Linked DNA regions of Tribolium castaneum. The main gene of each other region encodes a partner of the protein of the gene in region 2 in a complex. Links are inferred from orthologs where the notes say so. Each region holds a gene or a part of one and is shown on either strand. Other genes may lie near its edges. The genes, in order: Dph3 and Dph1.

Region 1 (8,795 bases), on a different chromosome or scaffold from region 2:
TATTTAATGCCGAAATTTGGGGTTTGAGTGTAATGTCACCGGTGACTTGCAATCGTTTCTTGACGCGATTACGAGTTTTAATTATATTAACAATGTTATCCGGTATTTTGTCTTTTCTTAAGGAAGTGACTATTCGCGTGGTTGAATGTTTTTTCCTAATTTTTTGAATTGATTTTGTAAACTTATTTATTTCGTGTTCTAATTGTTCGGTGGTTAAAATATTATGATTAATTTGGATTTCATTATCTAAATCTTTACGAAAGTTATGCCAGTTGGTATTTTTAAAGGAAGTTATTTGTCGGTTATCATTATCTTTAGGGAAATTAGAAATTTCGAAAATTACCGGATTATGGTCGGAATTTAGTTGTGAAAGAGACTGAGGGTCGTTTTCCAACAAGAAATTCTTCGTAAGGATTAAGTCTATTACTGTCGGGGTGGAATTATTGGAGGGAAAGTGAGTAGGTGACCGCGGGTGGTTTATGATGATATTGCTACTAATGCTAAGATTATATATGGTATTTCCGCTTGTATTATTTCGATGGTATCCCCAGGTGTTGTGAGTCGCATTGAAATCCCCAGCTATAATTACTTTATTACCGATATTATTTAGGTTTTCTAAATCGCGTTGTGAAATGTTATAACACGGGCGGTTATAAATTGCAATAAAATGAATTTGATTAGTTAATTTAATTCCGACGGCTTCTATTGTGGTTCGCGGTAACGTTAATTTTGAAAACGAAATACCTTTTTTGACTAAAATCGCGACGCCACCCGCCGCATTAGTACCGTCTACTCGGTCCTTCCTTATTATGTTGTAATTTTGAATATAAAATCTATCGTTAGGTGTTAATTTTGTTTCGCTGATGGCCAAAATGTCTACGTTGTTAGAATGTAAAAAAGCAATTAATTCGTCAATTTTTTGTTTGACACTATTAGCATTCCAAATTACACAAATGGCTTTAAAATCCATAAGTGTGGAGGTTTTGGGTGAATTCGAAAACTGTCATAAATTTGGAGGTAGGATCTGTGCACCCTTCCAGCAGGGTGGTGAGATCAACTACCGCCTTGAGCATTTTAGATAAGTCAACTAACTGATCTAACCTTTTGCACGCCTGTGAGAGCTGCGCGAGGGTCTCGGCCGTTGTCATCGTTCCCTGGGGTTTGGGGGGCACCTGGGGCTGTGGTGCTCTCGGGGGCTGTGGTGCTCTCGGGGGCTCCTGTGGTTGATGGGGGTAGCGCTGGCTCAGCGCTGGCCAGTGTGATGCAGCCGTGGGGGGCACAGGCTGCGGTTGCATCGTGGGGGCCCTCGTCCAGGCGTTGGTTTTGGGGGCCGGGGCTGGAATGTAGCGGGTGGGTTTGCGGCCCGCTTTGTCGTCTTCATGTGCGACTCTCTCGTTGATGTATTGCACCCGCTTTTGATAGACGGGGCAATTGAGATTGTTTGCGGTGTGGGGGCCTCCGCAGTTCGCACATTTTGGTGTGGCGTCTTCGCCGATTTCGCAATCTCTTGTCCAATGTCCCTCGGCACATTTCAGGCATTTTGGTTTCACGCGACAGTTGCTTGTCGCATGGCCCCATTCTTGGCATCTGTGGCACTGCGTGATGCGCGTTTTCTTGACATACCGGTGGAAGCTCACACGGATGTGGCTTAGTGCCGGGCATTTCTTGGAGATGCTGTTCAGCGTCTCGTATTTCCCCGTGATGACGAGGAACAGGGGCCTTTGGGTGTTTTTCATCTCATACATGTTGATGAGATCAACACCCTTCTCCTTCATCTCAGCCACGAGTTCAGGAATTTCAGGCCCTTTGTCCAGGCCGTGGAGCACGAACGCGTGGGTTTTCTCCTCCCTGGTGGTGTACGTGTGGTACTCCAGTTCGTCTTGTTCCATCTTCTCCTTGATGGAATTGTATTCTTTCTTCGTTTTTGTGGAGATGATTGTCCTCTCCCGGGTGTACTTGATGGTGAAATTTTCACCAGCTTGTTTCTTGCAGAACTGAAGAAGTGCTGCATGGTCTTTCGCTTTGCCGTGAATGACAATCGGCGGTGGGGGTCTTTCTGGGGGGCTTTTTCTCTCCGTGGTGTTCTGGGAGTGACCAGTGGACTGTTCTTCTGCTCTTATTGTTTTATTTATTCTATTTTGAATTTAGCTCACGAAAAAAACACGTTTATGCGCTTGATAAAAAGGGTAAATAATAATTTATTAATAAAAGTTCGTATTTTTTAAAACAGTTTTCGGTGAAATTATTGTGTTGTCTTGTAGTTGCACAGCTATTTGTACGCCGTGTCACCTGATGTTTTAGTCGTCCGTAATTATTGTTTTAATTGTTTTTTTTTAGTTTCAAGGATCCTGTGTATCAGTGTGATAGCATCCAAGTACTTGGTGCCTACGATTCTGGTGATTGTTCTCCACTGGTTCGTGATGACAATGTGGCTGTCTTGTACGAACCAAAAAAATAATTTTTGTAAACATAACAAGGTCTATGACATGTTTTTCTACTCAATTTTTGGTACTGTGTATATTTTCACGCCAGTTACGTTAGTCGAAGGCCCGACTTTTCTGAAATATGTTTTCTTTTACGTCGTGCTGTTTGTAGAAAATACGATAGCTAATGTTGTGTGGTACTGTAATGCTGATACTACTCTGCAGAAACAGATTTATTATACACCTATTGTGTATTTGAACGTTATTCCGTTTTTTGCGGGACTGACGTTCATGTTGCTGTACTATAAAGTCTTCCATCCTAGCACAGGGTATCACAGGACACAAGCTGTCCTTCCTAGTTAATAATCAAGGATCAAAGAGGAGTAGGTGAATATTTTTCTGCAGTGACTCTGATCTCCAAGTACGTACTCAAATGAATCCTCTTTGGTTTTTAGTTATAATTTTATTAACAATGTGATGTCTAATTTATTGTGTTAGTAGAATTGATGTGTATTTTACTAAGTAGGAATGGCCAAAGTATGTCAATTAGTTGTATTTTTCCTATTGATTTGTGTTTGTTGGTGCAATATTTAGTTGAATTGGTCCAGTTTTGAGATTATTTTAGTTGTATGCACAATTGTGGCGATGGAATCGAGCTCCGGTCTAAAATCGGGTAAAGAGGGGGCGGTTGCGTGACAGGTCCCGGCAAAACCTCGTTACCGACAACCCCCATAGCACTCAATTGCTCCCTATTGAATGATTTACTGATCCCCCCGCGACCGCCGCGGCCCCCTCGCCCGCCTCGACCGCTCATTTTATTTAGTCACTTCTAATTTTTTCAAATCTTCGGTTAGTTTTTTGACTTCATTTTGCTCCTGAAACGTCTCCTGCAATAAGGGTTTTTGGGGTTAATGCCTCACAAGCTATTTTTTACCTTGTCGTAAATTACTTTAACCACCAAGGAACAGCTCAGACAATTCGCTACTTCTTCGCCCGCGAGCAATTCTTCCTTAAAATTGATAGTAAATATAATGAGGTTAGGCCAAGGCACTCACTTTGGATATTTGGAACCTATCGTCGCATAGGCAAGGGTAATAGTAAACTTCTTCCTCTTCGTCGTATTCGAAATCCTCGATTTCTATTTCGTCGTGAAAAACAGTCATTACTTTATTTGTGGCTGAATTTTAAAATTTTCTAAGGTTCCAAACCATGTGACAGATTGTGGTTATGTGTGGAGTGATGTGACGTGACGTTTAATTTTTTGAGGGGCAACAATAATACGCATTAAATTCGAGATTGTGGAGAATCACTGTTGGGTTGTTTTATTATTATCTTAAGTAAAATAGTTAAAATTTAATTAAAAAAAGTCTCCCCGGCGGGGAATCGAACCCCGGTCTCCCGCGTGACAGGCGGGGATACTGACCACTATACTACCGAGGACTGATGGGTAAATTTTCTCAAGTCCTGCACTTCAGCCGAGTCTGTATTAGCTACTTTTGATAATAATTGATAACAGTAATTGTAATTATTTTAAAGACAAGACATGGTGTTTCTTAATTCCACTGATTACAAGGTATTCAAAACAACATACAATTCAAAATATAATTTAATTTATACTGTCGGACAATTTACAGAGCGTCCGTAAGATGGCAGTAACAGTAGTCCTCACGCTTACTTGTCGTACGTGTTGGTACAAATACAAGTCCTAAAGATTGTTTCATCAAGATCATACTTCACAGGATCATTTCTGTAGTATATCTTCACATACTCTACACTCAAACGTAGAGTTGACGCAACCACGATGATGAGTCGTAGTTCTGATTCCTGAGCGTGAGGCAGATGCAGAGATATTTTTCAATATCTGAGTCGTCATCGATGATCGTTCACTCGCGCTTTTATGTGTGAGCATGGGATCAGAGCAATCCGAGCGGTTGCACCCTTTTTTGTTTAATGTAAAAGTATAGATACCTTATTTACCAGTACGTGTACGGTGTACGTAACGTACCTATTCCTATTTTACTTACCTTCAAAAGGCTTCTTTCCTACGCGAGCGGAAAGCATTAAAAAGTCATCTTTTTTTCCGGGACTACGCTAATATCATAAAGTATATCCATCCACGAGGGAGGAAAATAGTGATTTTTGAAAAAAATATTTATAATGCATAGAGACGATTTTATTTGTTCAGTTCGTGAAATTTGAATCGTGTTCAGGTGAACAGAGCGTTCTTATAATCGTTCGGGGATAAAATCAACGCACTACTGAATCAAAATAAGAATTAATTTGTTTACGAATCAAGGTTAAATCAAAACATTTTATTTTTGAGTATTTTCCCAATGACTACGCCTTTGGTTTTTATTATTGGGGCATTGAGCGTAGAATGGTAGCGCATCTGATTTTGACAAGTCTGCTGCTCGTTAATCATGTTTAATTTCAGCCGTTGATTTTATGTTTAGAACAGGCCAAAAGTCAAACGTTCTGTTAAAATATAACCGACTAGTTTCAGAATGCATCGTCATTAAGCGTTTTAAAATTAATTGAAATCCGATAACGCTGAAACTTTTTGTTACAACATAAAGTGATTTATAAAGGAAAAACCGCGTTCATTCGAATCTTTTTTATAGAGAAGTACTTAATAAACTGCAAAACAATATGAGCAAGTTAGTGTACTCGTAATATTTAAAAGGCTTATTATTATGCTGAATTAAAATAGAGTTTTAAACCTACTACAATTTATAGAATGTGTGTAATCATAATCAATCATCATAATCGTACTCGTAAATAAAATGCATAAAATATCTGATTACTCCTGGACCACCCTGCATAGTTTGTAATGTTGATTTATTTAAAAAGTTTGTGTTAAAATGTCTGCAAAAGACGGTCAGTACCCGGATCAGGTGTAACAATTTTTCTATGAAAAAAAGTGAAGAAAAGGTAAGTGAAACAACACGTAAGCAAAAATAAGAGATTGAGAGAACACATAAACGTATAAAAGTAAAGCGGAGCATAAAAGTGACAAAAATAACAAAATAATGCGGCAAAAGGTAAAGGTAAAGGTAAAGTACGTAAGAGCACATCCTAATAAAGGGAAAATACCTTTTGTTTTGAGAGAAAAAGAGATGAACGTAAAGGTAAAACATAACTTCAAACTTTAATTGAATCCTTAGATAACTTTTTCTCAAAATTTTTAGGAATGGCCCTTTTGTCGCTGTTTAAAACATACAAAATAAGTGCAAACGCTGTGAAAGAATATCGATTGCAATGATTGTGTAGTTTTTGTCCTCTTTTTCGATTTGGAGCTAAATTCTTCGTGCTAACAAGCTGTCCATTTCGGCGTCCGATGCAGAGCGAAGTGATAAACGCCCCAGAAACAGTTTTGTTTAAAATCGATTGCCTAAACAAGATTAATTACGACAGTCTTCGAAGGGGGCAGGAGTGCGAAACGTAACCCCATCTGTCAATCACCATCTTCGAGCAAAGTAACAATTCTCCGCACCGCAAAGTAATGGTCAGAACTACCATATAACCCCTACAATTCACTCCACTAACTAATTATCTTTTAATTTGACGCCGATCATTTGTATTCGGCGCCCGCTGTATTACTGGTTGCAGCGTTATAAATTTGCAAACTAATTTTGCAACATGAAAACGCCTTGGATTCGGCCTCTTGAACGAGGGAAGAAACTGATTTAATTCGTACAAAAGAAAAAAGGTCATGTAATCGGATTGCGACTAAACGACTTAACTGGGTTTGTGTGCTAATTGAAAAATAATTGTATTCCGGGACTTCGTCCGCCTTACTTATCGTCACAGTCCCGCCGAAAATATTTTCGGGCTCAATTAGCGTTGTTGCTAAGCCGATCGACCTACCGTTTATAATTCGTTTGTAGTATTTTACACCACTTTCACTCATTATCAGTTTCAATAGAGAAGCACTGACCTACGCTCACATACAGTCCGGGACATTTCTATTTGGACATAAAAAATTTGAATTTTCTGACATTTATACGTGTATTCAGCGTCTATGTGAACAAAAAATGTTCTCTCTCTCATTCTATGGTCCTTGAGTTTTAATAACAGGAACATTTTTAAAATTGGTAGCTTTAGGAAATGACAGTAAACAGCTGACTGATGTAAATAATAACACAATAACAAAGGAAATGTTATAATTTTAATCTATATAACCAGTGGCTGCTTTAAAAGTGTGTACTAACGGGATAATAACATATTTACGCAAGTATTTTTGAAGGTAGAAACACTACTTGTCATATAACAACTACTTAGATTATATGATGAGACGGGAATGGCACAACACAGAATTGCAGTCAGTGATTGTGCTGGAGAAAGCTGCTGTGACGTACTGACAGTACTGACTATCGCTGGTTGTACGATTTGTGCAATTTGTGATATATTTTGTGTGAAAAACTGGAAAACAAAGTGCATAACTGCATAACCTCACTTATCGCAGTTTTGCACATTTTGATGATGGTAATTGCGGTTCAAGTAATTATGAGTTATAGATGGGGCCCACTGTTTACTTCAAAGTAAGTTCACGACATTTACAGATACTTTCTTTATGTTTTTGTCTTTTCTGGTGTAGAGGGTTAACCTTTCTATTTTCATATAAAATTCAAACCAAACGAAATCGAAAAGCTTAATATTGTCATGTTTTTTATTAATTATTAAAAAAATTTCTTAAAAAATCACAGATAGTGTTTATAATTTGCAGCTGAAGCCTTTTGGGTCCACTTTTTTCGTTGTTATTTCCTGGTAGCCACTCTTGTTTCAAGCAGAATGGGTGTAAGGTTAAAAATAATCCCATAAAATTGTTAATATAACTCCTTTGCACTGGCATGGGGTATTTGAAAACTTACGTTTAACAAATACGTCACAAAGTCTCAGTCATCGTCGAAAAACATAATTAGGGCTTTATAACAAGAAGCGTTTTCTGATTTTACTGTGGACGTGTGGAAGAATAGTGTGAAATATTGCTAAAAACCAACTTTTACTCTTGTTTACATTTTTGTACGTCTCTATCTGAGAGTAGTCGTCTTTTATAAAAAATATAGCCTACTAATAAAGGAAATTAAAGTGTTTTTATTTCTGGGTTGCCCCAATTCCACTTTGCCCTTGCCTGATAATCAAGACACTGATAATGAAATTGGTGTAAGTGCATCGAATACAAACGTTTTGAATAGATGAATAAAAGAGAGTCAACTGCTTTTTTCAAAAAGGCCATTTCAAATTTATTCAAAAAGCACACCCCCATTGAAAAGGGTCCATTCACGATGAAGTTCGGCTTCCTGCATGACATAGGTCTCGGACACCAATCTCACTGTAAATGGTCTAATTTGGTCTTGCATCTCTAAGACATGGACTCACTGAGAGCGACTTCTGCAGTAGGCTTGAGACCTGCTGCCTGTCTCGCAACAATCTCTGCATTATGATTCCAAATCATTCTATAAAACGCTGTCAATTATAAGCCATGATATGAGGCATGAGGCCGTCTCAGTGTATGTCTTGTGTATATTGAAACTGTTTCTTAAAGAACCCATTAACAATGAGATCTGCTTCGCTACATGCGGCGCGACAGGACTCAAAGACTAATCCCAAAAGACACAAAAAAACTGACACAGTTTATCATTTTAAGCCATTGACAGCGTTTTCGAATGTTGGTGCAAAGACTTGTCGCGAGGCAGGTTTCAGCCTTCCGCCAACGTCAGTCTCAGTGAAACCCTCTCAAAGTGATCTCAGCGAAAACCATTCACAATGAGATTGGTCTATGAGGCCTATGTCGTGCCGCATGCAGCGAGATATGTCTCATTGTTAATGAAAATAGGGCCTTTTTTGTTGTTTAAAATTGTTTTTTAAAACTTTTGTGGCAAATTTTACTGATGTGGCAGAGAGGGGGTATGCAATTGGAACATGACGATGACTACCCTAAAAGGCACTTCGAGGCTGTTATGGCCTTTTTAATGCAAATTTCAACTTTAAACCTGACAGTCATACCAAGGTCAAACATAACCTGACCTGACCTGACAGCCATACCAAGGTCCAACATAACCTCAACAGTAGTCCAGTAACGGTACTTCAAAGCATTTGAAAGTTTCTCCATTTGTTTGTAAATGTTCTAGTTGGTACATTTTGCTACAATAAAGAAATATTTAAATTTTTATTATTGTTTACATTTGTCATCTGTCAAACACATCAAACAACAAGTTCCCTAAATTTGAGGTCTTATCTAGTTTTTGTGCTCTATATAGTCTCGCGTCAAGGTATGCGCTGTGACGTATCTCATATAGAAATGTCCCGGACTATACGCAAATTCGTGTTCCTGTAGTCTAGAAAGTGTGAAAATGTCCGCAATTGTCCGCT
Region 2 (9,322 bases):
ACCCTGTATGAGCGTCGTTTGTTTCAGAATGTCATTACAAATACATCTTTTTCAGCGACTTAACAAACAGTTCTTAATTTAGTTATCTATTTAAAATTATTTTCAACGTTGAATGTCTCCCTAATTATCGTTGGAACTTATTAAAAAAATATCTGGTCTGAACTAATTTAAAAGTTTAAAAATTCGATTGTTTGTTTTTTAATAAATAAATTCAGATGTGATGAATCAAATTGTAATTGAAAATTGTAATAGAAAAATCAGTAGCTTTGAACTAGCGTTACTCGTTTACTTTTTGTAAGTGAACAATGAACATCGATTAGACTTTGGTGTGAATGACCAAAAAATGAGCGTGTTTGGTGTTTGTGTATAAGAAATAAACTAATCGAAAAAAAGGTGTATGTAACCCTGGACTAACCTGCAGATGGTCAAGCAGCGACTCGAGTCCCCGATCGGTGATGCTCGAACACCTCAAACTCAACGTATGTATATGTTTCGAAGCTAACGGAAACGAATTAATAAGATCGAGCGCATCTTCATCGGAAGCCCCCATCAGACACAAATTATGAAACCCCCTCCTCAGCAGCGACGAGTACAACCTGGAGCGCTCGTTCCCTTGCGCCGCCCTCATCTCCCGGCACTGCAGCACGGGCACCAGCCCCGTCCAAAACCTCGGCGACCTGTACAACACGTCCCTCCACCTAGTGCACACCTGCGCCAGCACGCACCGCTCGCACGGACTGAAATACAGGAAAAACCTGGCGAGGAACTTGTCGTCGACCACCAGCTGCTCCCAGGGCATGTAGGTCGGGGGCGGCCGGGGGCGGCGGCCCGGCTTGGGGCCCCCGCGGCCGGGCAACAGCCGCGAGGGCTTCTCGGGGGCGGCCACGGCCGCCGCGCTCCCGCCGCCGCCGCCGCCGCAAAACACGTTGGTGACGCGCTCCATGACGCTGCCCCCTTTGGTCGAGTGGTGCTTGCTGCCGCGGAGGCCCAGGCCGTTGATGCGTTTGGAGAGCTCCGCCGAGGCGCGCTCCACCACCCCCTGGGCCGATATCGACGACATGATGTGTAAGGGGTGCACTCACGAGGGCATCGCGATCACTGCACCACTCGATACGGTCGCGTTCACCCTCGCTGCTGATGGACCGATCAATACGGGAGAAAACGGGGGTGAGTGCCGACAAACGGCGAAAACGAACGGATAAATTCGGAGGGACAAAGCGTTGCGTAACTTGATTTGCACTGTCTTTGGATTTATCTGAATTAATTATTATTAATGTGATAATTGCTAGCGTAAATCGTGGACAAGAGTGCTTCGAATATTTTATGAACGTATGTCTTGAATACTAACTCCAGTTTTCATAAATTACGTTATTAAAGAAATTAATAAACGTTTATTAGAAAATTAAAACCATTTTTTTATGATAAGTAGCACTAAACAATAAACAAAGAATACAACAACATTAATAAAAATAAATTGTTTTTTTTTGTATAGGAACTATTAGAGTTTAGAGAATTGGTAAGGAATCTTATTTCTTTATTTTGAGCAAACATTGTTTAATAATAGTGGGAAAAAATCATTTTTCTACTAAAAATGAAGCAATTTTTCCCACAGTCTCTCCAAAAGTTTAATAAAACAAGGGTTACCATAATTTGACTACACAAACTGAACTAAAAATCATGTTTAAATTTTTCGCAATACCTACCGTAAAAGAGCGACCTCAGAAATTTGTAGTTGACCAGCAGAGTGACTATTTAGTAAAAAAAAGGGTTGCTTACTTAACATTTTTTGTATTATTTTCCTATTTTAAAATTCATTTTCTTTTTTTTTTGTCTGTGTCAAGGTAACTTTATAAAATCGGTTTTTATTCCATAAATATTTGCTCAAAGACCTTGTTCGTTGGCTTTGCAAAATTACAAGGTGAGTCTGCTAAAAGTATTTTTTTTTTCTCAAAAACTATGAATCATACAGAGATTAGTGTTTGCTATTAAATAAATAAATACATACTTAATTTTTTTTCTCCATGCAGGTGAAGTTTTCCAGAATTTTTCCCCAATTCTTTATAACTAAAATTGAATTGAAAGTACTAACATATTCTTAATCGAAATTTAATAATTTCTAGTGTTATACTAAAACAAAAAATTTACAAAAAGCCCAAAAATTACATTATAAAATGTAATCTCAATAACAAGAAGCTTTATGTAGCGATTATAATGAGCTTCAGTATGTATAATAAATACATATTCTAGTATAATAACATAGTAATGCTATGAACAATTTCCAATCAAATTTTAACGCGCCAAAGCTTATTTCGAAAAACACATTTTTTTTTTCATGAAATTAAGTTTTAATTAATTCGTACATATAAAGAATCGCATAATTAGCCACATTTTTTAACATATTTTTTTGTACAAAACAACATCAATTAACGTCATTTGTTTTAGAATGATGTTAGGAAAATGCAATCAACAACACCGATACGAACTCAGTTACAAAATTTGAAAAATTAGAGTCTTCCCTAGTTTATTCACCCCTTCAAAAATTACAAAGTTTTTAGGTAGTGATTATGTGATTAAGTTAGATAGAATCATATCCATTCAGTCTCTTGATAGAACACATGGAAATTGTTTCTGAAAAACTGTAATTTGCGGCTATTACTTAAACAGTGATTAGTTTGCCAACTCCTGTCATGGGTTTCATAAAGTTCTGTGAAACACTTTATATTTTTTTGTGCCGCGGCTTAGTATTAATTAATTTTAATTAGAAGGAATTATAGAAAACTTCTGAAAAAATAACATTTATAGAGAAAAAATAAAGTATTTCATAGCAAACGCTAAATTCTGTCTGATTATTAGTTGAGGAGACACAGTAAAAATATGCTTTTAACTTTTATACAAAATATCCTAAATTTCACCTTCCAAAAAATAAAAGTATGGACTTTTAGGTGGGTAAAAACCACGATAAAAAAAATCTTTTAACGCAAATGAGTAAGTTTTAATAAAATGCATTTAATTTAATAATTAAATTTCTAATCCAAGTGGTCTGTAGTTTTGTAAATTAACAATCTCGTGAATCCTGATGGTGTCTTCCAGTGTTGCCAGCATAATTTCCTAATCATAGGCTACCTCGTTCAGAAATCAAATTGAACGCACATTAAATGTCAAAATACCTACGAAAACACTAAACTTCCGTTTTAATAAAAAAAAATAATAAACGGAAAAAAGGAGCAGTGTTTTACTCATGATACCTCATCCATTTAAATTGTGTGGATTCGATTATCATTTCTCAGTTGCTTATCAACCGTTTATTCCGGTCTAGTTAAGGGTTATTATAACTTTTTATTCTTTTATACGGGAATGATTTCAGCGTACAAAATAAAGTAAATACAATATTAAAAATTATTATTAAAATTAAAAATTATAAAATATAAAATTATTAAAAAAATTCCGTATTGTTATTCCAAGAACATAATAGGTTTATCAAATTCCATACAATTTTGTTTACAAATGTGTGACAATCTCAGTGGGTCGGCCAATTTTGTCGCAGCCAACTGAGCTTTGAAATATTTTAAATAAACAACAAAATGTTACGTCTTATTAGGAATGAATGTCCTACTTTAATAAGATGAGAACGGGGACTCGGATTTTTTTTAATGATGATGAGAAAAAATCAGATTCGTAATTAAAATAAAACATTTATTTCTACCCTACTAAGGACATTTGCCACAGCATTTATCAATCTTATCAGCATCAGGCTTGTGGTTGGGGGTCCAGGGCCCCAGACTGGCATTTGCGTAAAAGTCCATTGGATAGCTAGCTCCCTCTTTATGCCACTCAGCATCCCCTAAAGCCACCGCCATTTCATACGGTGTTAGAAAAGGCTTCGAAAAAGCAAGCCCCCAATCAATCGAAAGCCTTGGACATGCAATTTGAACAAAAGCATCGCAACTAAATAAATCTAACTTTTTCGGAAAAATCTCAGACAGTAAAATCACGACTGCATTTTTCCCCAACTCTTCTAACCGTCGTTTCAAATAATCGACAACTTTGGGGCTCCCTTGCCGCCCCAAAGTCCCCATAATAACGCCATACAATTGCGCCTCTTTGGCTTTCATCACACTCTCTTTGCGATTTTTCTCCATCAAAGCGTGCTCGTAATATTCCCTTGTGAATTTTTTATCGTACGGATCGTATCGGTAAGCTTGCAATTTCGGATTTGCGATCATCGCAGCCTCGAGATGAAACCTACCATCCCCTAAGTAAATTATAACGTCGCAGCAGCGTAACACAGGGGCAGTGCACCCCAGAATCTCGCCGGGCGATAAAGGCTTGAACTGCGGTATCGAAACGTCAAAACCCACCTCTTTTAGCTTCTCTGCCACGCTTTGTAAAGTCGTGACGAATTGAATTGTGCTCACAAGTCCCACTTTTGTCGAAATGGGGAAATTTAGCTTCACAGTTTCGATGAAATGCCCCGGATCGATTTTTATATCAACGAAAATGTACAACACTTTAATCCCACTCGTCTGATCGATTGGGATAAGACAACTGTGCCCGTAGTGTATCAACAGCTCAACCCCCAAAGCTTTAGCCGTCAGATCGTCAATGCAGCAAGCCCCATACGTGACATCCCCCATAATCACCGAATCAGCCCCCGTGAACTCTTTGATAATATCAGCGAGGGTTGTGGCGAACAGCAACAGCCCCTCGGGCATCTGTAAGGCGACAGTTTGCGCTTGCAGCTCCCTAATCCGCCAGATTGTTTTATGCACTTCGAAGTTGTAGTTTTTGGGGAGGGATTCAATCGCAGCGTTGAGTTTCGTATCCTGGAGGATTGACTGAGGGATTTTTGTCATTTTCTTCGCCCCGAAAACCTTACGTGCGGGCTTTGCCCGCACCACAATAGCCGAGTCCCCCGACGCCTGTTGATATTAATTGTTATGTAACGCAACCAGGGGTGTTTACGCACCATTTCTGAAGTCATTTCATGAATGACATTGCGTTGTTTTGGAGGAAAAATGGTTAAATTATTACAATTATTGTGATAACAAGTAAGGTTATGTGACTGGTACCACACTGACGTGAACAAATTGCACCAAACAAATCTAGTCACTAGATTCAGATTCAAATGTCACAAAACTTTACTAACTTGTTTTATTAAAAAACACGTGTGATACATTTAATTAAATGAAAAATGCGTATTCAGGCGATTTTGAGCCCTTGTATGGCCTTCTCGAGCGAGTTGAGGTCCCAAATGACCAGTTGCCCGTCCAGCCCTGAGGTGCTCATCTTGGTGGCGTTGCCCTTGGTGCCCCCATAGATGCAGACACAAGTGATGGCATTCTGGTGGATTGAATCCAAGTTTGTGTCCGAAGTCTCGCTCCTCGCCTGCTTATCCAACGAGTGGAACATCCTCATAGCGGTAAGCCCCCCTGACTCCTTCTTTTGCGACGTATCCAACTTTGCGGTAAAGACCAGCTGGCCATTGTCGTTCAAAGTGTACAAAACCGGGATACAGCTGTGGCCCGCGGCCACGATTGATTTATTGGTGATCCAAGTGCAGCTCAAAAAGGGTAAAAATTCGGTTCGTAATTTAAAAACTGCGTTGCCTCGTGTGGCATCGGCCACGTTGATGGTCGAGTCGTGGGCCACCCAGCACACTTTGTTACCATCGGGGGAGAAGCTCACGCTTTGGACCCATCCGCCTCCGGCATTGGAGTTGGCGAATTCGGCCAAGAGGTGGCCTAGGGGCATTTTGGAGCCCCAAGGGGTGGGTTCGGGGGTCTTTTCGATGTCTTTGATGTAAGCCGAGAAAATGCGGACTTTGAAATCGGTGGATCCGGCGACTAGAAGCACGTTGTTTGGGTGCCAGTCCAGGGTGGTCACTGTGGACCTGATTGGCTTTTTGATGTGCTTGGACACCCACCTAGAGATTACGAAATGTTTAAATAATATATAGACATATCGGGTGACTAAATAGTAAAAAAATTATTGGCAACACTGACTTATTGGCCTTCCTATTAGTTTGTTACACAGAGCAGGGTTGTCAGGAGGTCGAGGGGTTTTTTAATTATTTTTTTTCTGCAAAATCTAGGTATTTAAAAAATCCAGAAATTGTTTTTTGCAATTCGCCTTATATGAATTCAACATTTCAATTCTTTTTAAATAATTCAAATTTAAAAATACAAGAAAAAAGATCAATTGGCAACACTGATTTTCCTGTTAGTCCTGTCTAGGGGTTTTTTCAGTTTTTTTCTGCAAAATCTCGGGCTTTTAAAAAATTTAGAACTTATTTTTTTGTTTGTTATTGACGTTATTGTATTCAGGGTTTCAGGTTTGAATACTTTTCAAATTATTCACATTTTAATGTAAAAAAAACGGAAAAAATTGAAGAAAACAAACATATCTCATTTCAGTTCTTAGTAGAATTTTGTACAAGCGTATTTGCATTTTTCGGAGAGAAATACAGCACAAATAGAGAATTTCTGTATAAGAAAGGAATTCTGTGTTAAACTGAATCCCAATGACAAATTTTGAGCCAAGAAAACCCACCAATTCAAAGAGAAAAATTATTATGAAAATGTACAGTTGTCGCTAAAGGTTAGGAAGATTATTGTAATTAGCGAAATTTTTGAACAAGAAAATAAGTAATTCCTATTAACGAAAGTGTCTCTTAACCAAGTGTTATAAATTAATATACCTTTGGCATTTTTCTACGCAATTCTCCCTATTTCTCTTTTCAGTTACAATTCAGAATACCTAATATAAAAAAAATGTTAAAGGTCTTTTACATTTATCACTACAGAGAGCCTCAGCGAGTTGATGAAGTCCATTATTGACCTTTAAGGGTCGCTTTATAGAAACGTCATTAATTTAATCCTCAATTAAATGCGTGATTAAATAATCACGTGACCAAAATGAACCAATTTGATTGGTCTATCGCGTTGTTAACTTTTAACAACGCAATTAACTTTAACTGAGCTTTCTACCGGGTGCTCAAAAACTGGCGCACCAACTCAATGGAGTGTGGTAAAGCATTGCTTACATATAAAGGTAAAAATAATAAAAAAATTCTTTGCATTAAAGTTATTGATAAATAATGAATTTTAAATAAATGATATGTGGCAACGTTGTCTAACAGTTGTGATCGTAATAGAATTTGATCAACAATACAAATATATTATTTTTGAAACGGTTTCCTAGGAAATAATTCCCAGCGTTGTCACATCTACAAACTGTGATTTTTTTGATGAATTTTTATTTTTTTAAATAAAAAAAACTGCTAAAGTCTGATGGGAAATTTAAAAATAGTTATTCATCGTTGTGTTAGGGAACGATTACTTAGTGTGAAACATAAAAACATTAAAAAATAATGAAAACTGAAGAAAATAACAAAATAAGTTTGTAGCTCCAGATATTTTAAAATATCACTTTAGGAATTTTTTCAAGATTTTTCCCGTGATTTACACATGCTTCTCAACAACGTACCACTGAGTTGGTGCGCCAGTTTTTGAGCACCCTGTATAAACCGGCCCTGAATGTTAAAAAATTTAATATTTTTTCCAAAAGCCATAGATACTGAAATTATTTTCATGTGTACAGGCTGTTTGAAAATTAATTACAATACTAACTTGGTTTTTTTAATGGAACAGCCTTTACAGAAATTTATTTTTTGATTTACTTTTAGTTTTAAGATTTTTTTTTAATTATTGCAATGAAAAAAGAAGTTATTAAAAGGTAAATAATAAAACCATCTAAAGTAAATTTTTTCTTGAAGTTCAAAATTTTGAGAAACTAAGACCCGTTTTAAAAAAAGCGAAATTAAAATTTAAATCCTAATTAAACAAATGCCAATTAAGATGTCATTTAAGTTGCGATTAAAACGTTACGTAAACCTGCTCTAAACCTCACATACTCACAACCTTAATGTGTTAAATTTATAGATGCAATTCATCTTTATCAGAAACTAGAAAACGCGTCACTGTAGAAAACGCAGTAGAAATTCTTTTGGTCTTTTATTTAAAAAAATTATTTGATAATCAAAGTTGCTACAAAATATTTTTCTCGATATAACAAAAGCAAATATAGAAAATCTCTTTACTCACCAGTCGTTTTCGGACTCGAAATAACACACAGAGATGAGTCTCGCGCCCGACCCTACGGCAAATTTATTCTCATTGGGGGACCACTTGACACAAGTCGCCGCCCGATTAATCCGCAAAAGCACCAAAGTTGGCTTCCATTTCTTGTCTTTATCCAGTGTCCACACGTATGCGTTACGATCAGCCGCACACGTAACGATACGGTTGGTGTTGGGCCCCCAATCAATGCCCATGACACGAAGATCGTGTTGGTTCAACACATCGAGGGGCTTCCAATCAGAACCACTCCGTTGGTAGATGTGCACTTCATGGTTATTGGGTGAAATGGCAATTTCTAGAAGAGAAAACAGTTTAACGACTTGAAGCCCCAATTTGGGGTTACTTACGAGTCTTGTCTTTGTTCCAGGCGTGACAAGTGATGGGGCTCACCACTGTCCCGAAACGGTGCTGTTCGGTCATTTTGTAAGAGAAACTAACCCTGTTTTCACACAATTCGCGGACTCTGGTCAGTCTACGCGAATTTTAATCGGAGTCAAGCTATTTTTGATAAGGGAAAGCCCCCAGATGAGTAACCGGGTGCGGTTAGTTTTTTTGACAGTTGCGGCAGTGTTGCCAGTCCAACAAAATCTAAAGGTGCCATATTTGAATTAATATTTTCTCTCGGATTGTGTGAACATGGCTGTAATGTTCATGGTGCCAGCACCATTTTTGGTGCTGTCTTCACCGACATAATTTCATATGCATTTGTGCCTAATTGTAACAATTTTTGTAATTCAAAAAGTTCTGAGGGATTTTTCAATTTTTTTAGGGATTTTGTCCCAATTAACCTAGTGGGCGTGGGAGTAATTAACAGCTGATTGTCAAACCTGTCAACAATCACATCTGATAAAAGTGTGAAAAGTTGGGTGAAAAAATGGTGAAAGTGCGTTGTTTCCGAGTTAGAACATTAAGCGAGCCACTGTGATGGAAAACCGTACGAAATAGCACCAGTTTCATTCAAAAATTGATTGAATTATGTAAGAATGGAAAGTGTGGAGGAGCCCCCTTGCACGTGTCAAGTGTGCGGGTTTGTGATACCACCAAGTCAGCTGAGCCACCACTATGAAAAATGCCACAATTCGCGCGAATTCAACTGTGACCGGAACCCCCCTGAAGCCTACTTTTGTACTTACTGCAACTACCATACCCCGTTTAAAGTCACCCTATACCATCACGTGAAACAA

What was found.
Region 1: Dph1 (region 2) and Dph3 share a complex: the UniProt entries of both Caenorhabditis elegans proteins name them as parts of the 2-(3-amino-3-carboxypropyl)histidine synthase complex. The link is inferred for Tribolium castaneum from reciprocal best matches to the Caenorhabditis elegans genes dph-1 and dph-3.

The regions. Positions count from the first base shown.
Region 1 is NC_087396.1:11,841,954-11,850,748, reverse strand, and holds Dph3 (diphthamide biosynthesis protein 3), read right to left. Parts: upstream 3,832-8,795; 5' UTR 3,587-3,831; coding exon 3,479-3,586; intron 3,433-3,478; coding exon 3,358-3,432; intron 3,311-3,357; coding exon 3,239-3,310; 3' UTR 2,867-3,238; downstream 1-2,866. UniProt on the Caenorhabditis elegans protein: Required for the first step of diphthamide biosynthesis, a post-translational modification of histidine which occurs in elongation factor 2.
Region 2 is NC_087394.1:25,652,596-25,661,917, forward strand, and holds Dph1 (2-(3-amino-3-carboxypropyl)histidine synthase subunit 1), read right to left. Parts: upstream 5,115-9,322; 5' UTR 4,982-5,114; coding exon 4,967-4,981; intron 4,920-4,966; coding exon 3,708-4,919; 3' UTR 3,673-3,707; downstream 1-3,672. Other genes in the region: F-box/LRR-repeat protein 16, read right to left, coding at 416-1,060; Arpc1 (actin-related protein 2/3 complex subunit 1A-B), read right to left, coding at 5,200-5,923, 8,103-8,433, 8,486-8,558; zinc finger protein 142, read left to right, coding at 9,122-9,322. UniProt on the Caenorhabditis elegans protein: Catalyzes the first step of diphthamide biosynthesis, a post-translational modification of histidine which occurs in elongation factor 2.